2 linked regions of the Bombyx mori genome follow. The protein of the gene in region 2 purifies or fractionates together with the protein of the main gene of each other region. This does not show direct contact. Links are inferred from orthologs where the notes say so. Each region holds a gene or a part of one and is shown on either strand. Other genes may lie near its edges.

Region 1 (4,611 bases), on a different chromosome or scaffold from region 2:
TATAGGTATACACCCCTTAGGTATTGTGGTATCAAAATGGTAATACACCAGCAACCTATTTGAAAAATGGTTTAACCAGATCGTCTTTCTGTTTTTATTGCCATTGTAGAAATCTGATAATGTTTACCGTCCGTCACTGATGGACCATATCAGACGCAAGCGGCGGGGCAACGCAAAGCCGTCATCGCCCAAAAACTGACTTGTGGATCCCCCGGATCCCTTCGGAACAAGGTGACACTTTACAAAACCAAATAAATCTGCATAAGGCCCGTCATGACCTACGCGTGTGGTGTTTGCTCACGCGGCCCGCACACACTTGGACACCCTCCAATCCCTACAATCCAGCTTTTGCAGGCTGGCCGTCGGAGCTGTGGTTCGTGAGGAACGTTGACATACACGACGACCTTGGCCTCGAATCGATCCAGAAACGTAACGAAAGTAGAATAAATTATGCTGTAGTCATAGTAGAAAATTTATATCACCCTTGTATCATCGCTCATTTAAACAAGACAAAAACCAAACACTTTTAAATTCATTTATACATGCCAAAATGATACCAAACATTGAAACGAAGGTGCTACATTCACAGTTAAAACTTACATTTTATATTTACAATACTGAACACAATATAGATTTCGGTTGATTGCTATTAGTTAAAAACACATAATATAAAATTATTTTCAATTTTAGGTGCCCATTAAGTGCCCAAGTATACAGTATTATAGTAGATACATGAACAAGCGAACTAGAGATGTAGTCATTACCATTTAAATACTAAATGATTTCCATTTGTAGATACCAACAAAATTACTTGTGGGGCTAAGATATTGATAACCGTTTGTTAGAAAATCAACTCCATATTCAGGTCTTAACGCATAGAATATGTGCGAATGCCAGCCTCGTGTGAGAACATCACTGTTTTTCTCAAGTATCTAACAATAATCTTTATTGGCCTGTATGGGAGTCAGATAACATTGTTTGTAAAACCAAGCACTCAAAACTTAGCTGTGAGATTAAAACAAACTTTAGACTGTTTAAAGCATAATCAATACCTACTGTAACTTAGTCACTAAATAAAATTATACGTATTTAGATCGAGAACAGTCTACAACCAATAATGGCCTAACAATTTGATTGACGATTTCCTTCTTATTTGAGAAAAAAAACTAAAACTTAACACATCACGACAACTGTAGTAATTGTTATGGCATAATTTCATTTTAAAATTCACCATTACTATAATTATGAGTCATTAAAGATTCACTAGTACATTATTGCAGAGAGGGGAGAAAGCAGTAAAGGTTATTTATTATTTAAAATGGGTAGACGGTCATAGTCCACCTTATGGTCACCTGATGGTCATCACGCAATTGATGCATGCTCTCTTCAACAATATGTTACCTTACCTTAGATAATTACAAACTACATTACTTGAGATACTTAAAAAGAATAGAAAACTTATAAAGTAAAGCTGCAATCAATCTGCGAGTTTGTAACTGACTACTGTTTCCATTTTGTGTAAACTAGTCGAGAATGACTTTAGCTGTACATTCTGAGCATTGGCTATAGCTACTGGTTGTGCCTCAGCCCATTTTTCTGGAATATCGCAGTCTGTTTTAGCATGAACCAAAACATCAAATGAACATCTACAATCTAATAGCGGTAAGTACGATATTGTTGCTGCTACTTGTAACATAACATCTCTGATTTCCTGTTGTATCTTCTTCAAATCTTTGCTCCCGACCATTTCATTTTTCTCCTTAGATAAAGCAGTATCTCCATCTTCGTATTGAATGTTAAAGTCCCAACATTCCAGAACTTCTTTGTTAGCCACATTTAGTATGATCAGAGATAGTTTTTTCACTTTCTTGTCAAGAATCCATTCTGTAATATCATCAAAATAACATCATTAAAACTACTTTAATGGATTATATCACACATATATTATTTTTGTTTTGTGATATTGTGAGTACTGACAATTAAGGTTATTGATGTACATTAAATTTTGTACTAGTTTCAGTTATCTCTATGACTTGTGAAAACTAAAGAAATTGCTGTGGTAAAACTTTATTTAAAGGATGTCAAAACTCCTAAAACTCCAGACTAAGGTGTGGAGCTAAGTAGGTAGCAGTAGTGGCCCTCAAAACACAGCACATGAGCAGTTGATTCATCTCATTCGTGCATAAATACAATGCCACTAAAAACAATGAATGATAAAAGAACTCCCCAAATTGTTGATCTTTATTTTAAGTCCATCAAAAAAGTTACTAATTATTACTAAGAACTGCTATTAATCATATTAGATTTGGATGTAGACTAACTGATACCTTCACTCTGTGTAAGAAGATTTGTTAAGAAGCTCTTGATCTGAGGATCCTCTGAGAGTAGCAGTGTGATGCCATACTGGTTTTCTGCCTTAAAGGTTTCAGGTGGATATAAGCCTCGTTGAAACAGTACTGAATTTATTGAAAATTCTGAAAACATGAGTAAATAAATCAGTTTATACTACTCACAGGGATTAAACAAATGTGGACTTTAGTCATATAAATTTATAATGGTTTTGTAGTCCACATTAGTAAGCCCTTGTACTCTGTATCTTTATGGTCGTGTTTCTTCTAACAGCTGTGTGTACAAAATATATTAATTCAATAAATAAAAATAAATAAGCATGTCCATCATGGCCACTTCAACATACTGGTTACAACCTCAGGTTATTATTAGTATCAGAGCTTTCAGCGCATATATGCTTATACGGCTGTGTGGTAAAAATGGGAAAACAAGCTTTTGATACCAGAACAACAGAGAAACAATGTTACTTACTCAAATATTCGCATATAATTTGAGCGGAGCCGCGCAAAGTAATACAATTTTTTGTTTGTTGTAGTGACATAGTTGTCAGCTGTTTGTCGATTATATTGCTGTAATCGTTCTATCAATAATCAAAATCAATGAATTTATATACACACTTGAGTATGTAGGGACGATTTGATACAAACGAGCCGTTATGTAGGTACTGGGTGAATTCAGCGCGTCCGTTGATAATTGTTATTTTCAAATAATTCAAAACATTTCATTCAAACTTCAATGTCAAAAATTCCTTTAAATCAAGTGTCAATGCTCAAACGCCTCCATATACCCTTTGCTTACATATTAAAAATACAAAACTCCGTCTGATATACTACGCAAAGTGAAATGGAACTGAGGAAAATAAATTAATTTTTAAGTAAAGTGGTAATAAACTTAAATACATGAGATCAAATAGAAATAAGCTCTCTCTACATACAGCTACATCAACACACAAAGATGATGATGTGCTCCTAATCTCTATCCTCCAAACTAAAAGGGTAAAATCTTAACTTCGGCAACCTGAATCATTTGATTTTTTTTTATTGCTTAGATGGGTGGACAAGCTCACAGCCCACCTGGTGTTAAGTGGTTACTGGAGCCCATAGATATCTACAACGTAAATGCGCCACCCACCTTGAGATATGAGTTCTAAGGTCTCAAGTTTAGTTACAACGGCTGCCCCACCCTTTAAACCGAAACATATTACTGCTTCACGGCAGAAATAGACAGGGTGGTGATACCTATCCTCGCGGACTCACAAGAGGCCTTACCACCATGTATGATGCTATTATGAAACAAAAACAATATGTAGGTACCTATTAAGAACTTTTTGGCGGGAACTCGAGGAGTGAAGTTGTGTGATTTGTTTTATTTTGTTTAATTAGTGTTTCTTCAGGTTTAAATGTGTAATAACTAGAGGTCAGAGTGGGTAAGTAGATTGAGTTAAGGTCGTTGACGTCAAACGTAGAGGATAATATGGATATATATATATATATATATGCCTCCAAAATACTGGAACTTCATATTTATTGTGATATTTGTTCCGGAATTTTGAAATTAGCATGAATTTGTGTTTAAAGTGAAAAACGTAATAATAATTTTTTTTTTCTTTATTGCTTAGATGGGTAGACGAGTTCACAGCCACCTGTAATCTACGCTATCAGTGCTAGCTAATGGTAAAAGAAATCAGTATTTTGTTTTATACAAAAACGCCTTGGAATAGTTACAGTTATATATTATATATATGTGTATAGTTATAGTTATAGTTATTTTGTCCCTTTCTGTTAAATTGTAAATGACGCTTGTCAGTATGAGACAAAACTTAGACAGTGCTTTTTTGTTACTTTATAAGTATAGAAATTGTATCCGATGAGGATTAAAAATAATTTTTTTCATTTTAAAAAAATAATCATTATGGATAAAATGGCATGTCCATATTAAAATATCTTGATCCAAGTATATGAAATCAATCTACCTACTCCGACCACTGGTAATAACGGTGGTTTATTAACTGTTTAATATCTGTGAAAGTGCACAAATGTGGGAAAATTAAAAAAAAAGCCGCTGTACGTAACTTCTCGGGATCCTTCAAACAGTGCACTGAACAAATCTCAGTAAATATTTACCATTTTACTGAGATTATATTTCATCCCATATCATCTCATTTCATATTATCATTTTTCATAAAAATATGAACTTAAATAAATTAAAATAAGACATGGCTTAAAGGTCTTAGTTACTGGGTCATAAAATCCTTTAAAAAAT
Region 2 (3,833 bases):
TTAACTAAATTGTTTCAAGCCAATAAAATAAAATTACGTTCCATAGACACTTCTAGTACGAATTTCAAAAATATAACTCGCCCCAATTTAGGGCATGTAGGATGTCAATATAAATACTTTAACTTAAAAATTCAATCTTGTTCACAGAAACGTTTTTTTTGTATATCTATCTGTTTATAATTAGTTAAACTATACTGAGAACTTAGAACTTTTATCTCAAGGTGTGTGGCGCATTTACGTCGTAGATGTCTATGGGTTCCAGTAACCACTTAACACCAGGTGGGCTGTGAGGTCGTCCACACATCTAGGCAATAATAAAAAAATAAAAAAGTGAAACAAATAAAGAATACAAACTGGAACTCGGAGATGGTCTGAACAGTTTATATAATAATAGAAATGATAAGTACATACACACAGACCTCAATTTTCATCAATAATGTTACTATGTCAAAGATTTTTTTGTTTACCGGCGCAGGTGGATTAGCCAGCTCATGGTATTGGTCTTCACAAGTCGTGAGGTCACAATGGTGTTTGAATGGCGGCTATCCTCCGCATCAGGCAAGACAGTGGGTTTCATTAAAAATAATAAAAATTCAACAATTTGTTTAAGATGTATGATCCCGCACATTTATCGTATACATGCTAACACAATTGACAAATAACATGATTCATTTCTTACATATTTTGTATTTAAATCGAATTTTGGGGTCACAATATATCCTTTCTTGACGCTCTGACAAACAAACTCTAAATCATGCATACATTAACATTTTAACAGTCTGCGCAAATTGAAATTCCTAAACAGAATAAACAATGACGGACAGTCGATTGGGAGGAATAGAGACTAGAGTTAGAATAGGGACAAATCTGGGATGTCACAATACTTTTGTTGAGTTGTTAGATTTAGCTTTGTTGAACTTTAGATTTAACTTTGTTGAACTGAAAATGACTTTTATTTAGTGTTTAAGAATATTAAATAGTTTAATTTAGTCATCAAAGTTGTTTAACTCATTAAAGATATTAAAAAGTTAATTACCTAAAGTTAGGTACTTACCTAACAACTAAATAGTGCCAGCCCTATCGAAAAATTCTATTTTCCCCATACTGTTATACGGTGAAGCTAGTTTTTTCAGTTTTTGTGTATATATTGTAATGAACTATGTATAATAACGCTAAGAAAAACCATTGAAAATTTGTGTTGGATTTGGAAAGGGTCCCGATTCGCCCCAATCTACGGTATTACTGATATTAATAAAAAAAATCTATTCGATCGCGTGTTGGATTGTGGTTTTCGTAAAGAGCTCCATGGTGAGAGCGCTGAGGAACAAGGGTATGGACTGATGCTGGTGCAGATGCAGGTCCAGCAGATCGCCCAGAGTCTCCGAGTAGTCGGTGTGGACCATCTCGATGCCGTCGTCGCACAGGGTAAACGTTAAATATTCTTCGGACGACTCCGCGTACATATTCGATATCCTGAACGAAAAGATAACAACTTAGTAAACTTAAAAAAAAAAAAGATGGGTGTAGGCCACCCAGGCCACCTGGTGTTAAGCGGTTACTGGAGCCCATAGACATCTACAACGTAATTGCGCCACCCACCTTGAGATATAAGTTCTAAGGTCTCAAGTATAGTTACAACGGCTGCCCCTACCCTTCAAACCGAAAGGCACCACGGCAAAAATGGGCAAGGCGGTGGTACCTACCCGCGCGGACTCACAAGAGGTCCTACACCAGTATGGCAGCGAAACATGGGCGGCAACCAAAAGGAACGTGCATAGCATTCAAATTGCTGAAACGAAGATGCTAAGGTGGATGTGCGGCTTGACCAGGCTTGATAAAATCCGCAACGAGTACGCAAGTTAACGCGTCACGCGAATTATGCTGACAAAGGTGTTCTTCGGTAATATATCACCGAACAAATACTTTATTTAACGTTTTCGACCTACACGACCCCAAGCTCATCTGTGTTAACGGGCATAACCAATGGATAAATCTAACATGATTGTTAAACCAATAATATTGATTAATTGATTTGATTTTGAGATGACTAACATTGTAGAAGTGAAATTTAAAAGGTAAATGTAACATAATCTACAGATATAGTTCCCGGTACGTAACTTGGCAAGAGTCGTTAGATGCGCAGAAGTCGTTTTTAGGTCTCTTTGGTTGTCAAGCGGGACGCGGGGAAAGACGTAGCACCGTTCCGAGCGCGCTATTGGTGAGTCAGTCGACCCTCCCCTCCCGCACCGCGTCCACGTTCCATTCGCTCCCGATTATACATGCGCCTACTAAAGTTGTAGGAACCCTTTGTTTATATTGAGTTTTTGTTACGAGTTGTTATTATTGTTTTAAATTTCGTTTTTGTTACGAGTGTTATTGTTTTAAAGATGTTTGCAATGCCAGGACCAAATACCAATGACCATATATTCGATTCAGTTACTGAGCGTTTTATTATTTACGTCAGTGACGACAGCGACTCTTCGTTATGTCAACGATGAGGAGCCAACTCCTTCCAGCAGCTCAGGTGCTACCATAAATTTAATCCAAGGGGTAGCACTATTAGAAAATGATAGTGACGACGGCGAGATATAATTTTTAATATTAAGTATATTTTTTTTAATAAACTTCTTAACTTTTAATTGTATTTTATTTATAACACCTAATACACTTCACGAATTCCTCTCTTTTATTTAACTTTCTTCTAAACACACAGGCTTAAAAATAAATTATGGCAAATAAAAAATTAAATTAAATTATATGCGGGCAATAAAAGTGACCATTTTTTTGTTGCAATGTGCACTATGCGCGACATTACCCCCACTACACCAAAACCTTGCCAACTTACGTGCCGCTTATTATAACTATATCGGATTTACAAAAAATTTTTATTAGGAATGTACTGAATGCAGTGAAAGGAAAGAAAATTTTATGAGCGTACACATCAACCAGAAGGTTCTTGAGTGGCGACCGCGTACTGGGAGACGTAGCGTGGGTAGGCCTCCCACAAGGTGGGCCGACGACCTATTAAGGTTCGCGGGGATCCGCTGGATGCAGGCAGCGCAGGACCGGTCTTTGTGGCGAGGCTTGGGGGAGGCCTATGTCCAGCAGTGGACGTCCATGGGCTGATAGATAGATAGATAGATAGACACATGCATGTTGGAATCCTTATATAGGTATTAAAATAGGATCTAAATAAGTAAATACATCAAAATAGATTTTTGGAGTTTACTCCTTTAGAATCGATTTACATATATAGGCCCGGGGTATGAAAATTATGGGGACCAAAATCGTACTAGCATGTCACACGAAATGCGTTATGCGCCTGATTGGCTCCTGATTGCGTGATGCGTGCGCGCGCCAATCAGGAGCCAACGCGCGGCCGCGTTATCGCAGGTGACGCCGGGCTGCTGCGCCGGCAGTCCGCCACAAAGCCTCGTACTGATCGCGCGTTTCTCTCATTATTGTATTTTCATATATTTGTTAGTCGTTTGTTTTGTGTCTCGTTAATTTGTTAATAATCTGTAGTGTATCGTGTTGTCGTAATATAGAACTATTTCTCGTATTGTTTCGTTTAATTTTTTATATCCAGTAAACTCCAGTCGTGCGTCGGAGCGGACACACACACTTTTTTTTTTATGTTTTCTACAATAAGCGAAAGTTCCAACGGTAATTGGTTTGATGGTAATTGGAATACCCTGAATAGTTTTGAGATTTCGGTACACACAAGCTTTAGGTAAGCGACAAAACATTATTATTATTCATCATGATTACGGAACAGATTTATGTACGACTAGCTGTACCCGTTCTCTTCACTGGGCATTTAAAATTAACAT

What was found.
Region 1: the proteins of mitotic spindle assembly checkpoint protein MAD1 (region 2) and mitotic spindle assembly checkpoint protein MAD2A purify together in Drosophila melanogaster (affinity purification with mass spectrometry; 4 studies listed by BioGRID, with this or other methods). This does not show direct contact. The link is inferred for Bombyx mori from reciprocal best matches to the Drosophila melanogaster genes Mad1 and mad2.

Annotation. Positions count from the first base shown.
Region 1 is NC_085128.1:1,144,654-1,149,264, reverse strand, and holds mitotic spindle assembly checkpoint protein MAD2A, read right to left. Parts: upstream 3,073-4,611; 5' UTR 2,891-3,072; coding exon 2,821-2,890; intron 2,475-2,820; coding exon 2,328-2,474; intron 1,885-2,327; coding exon 1,478-1,884; 3' UTR 522-1,477; downstream 1-521.
Region 2 is NC_085125.1:5,657,872-5,661,704, reverse strand, and holds part of mitotic spindle assembly checkpoint protein MAD1, read right to left. Parts: intron 1,474-3,833; coding exon 1,263-1,473; 3' UTR 1-1,262.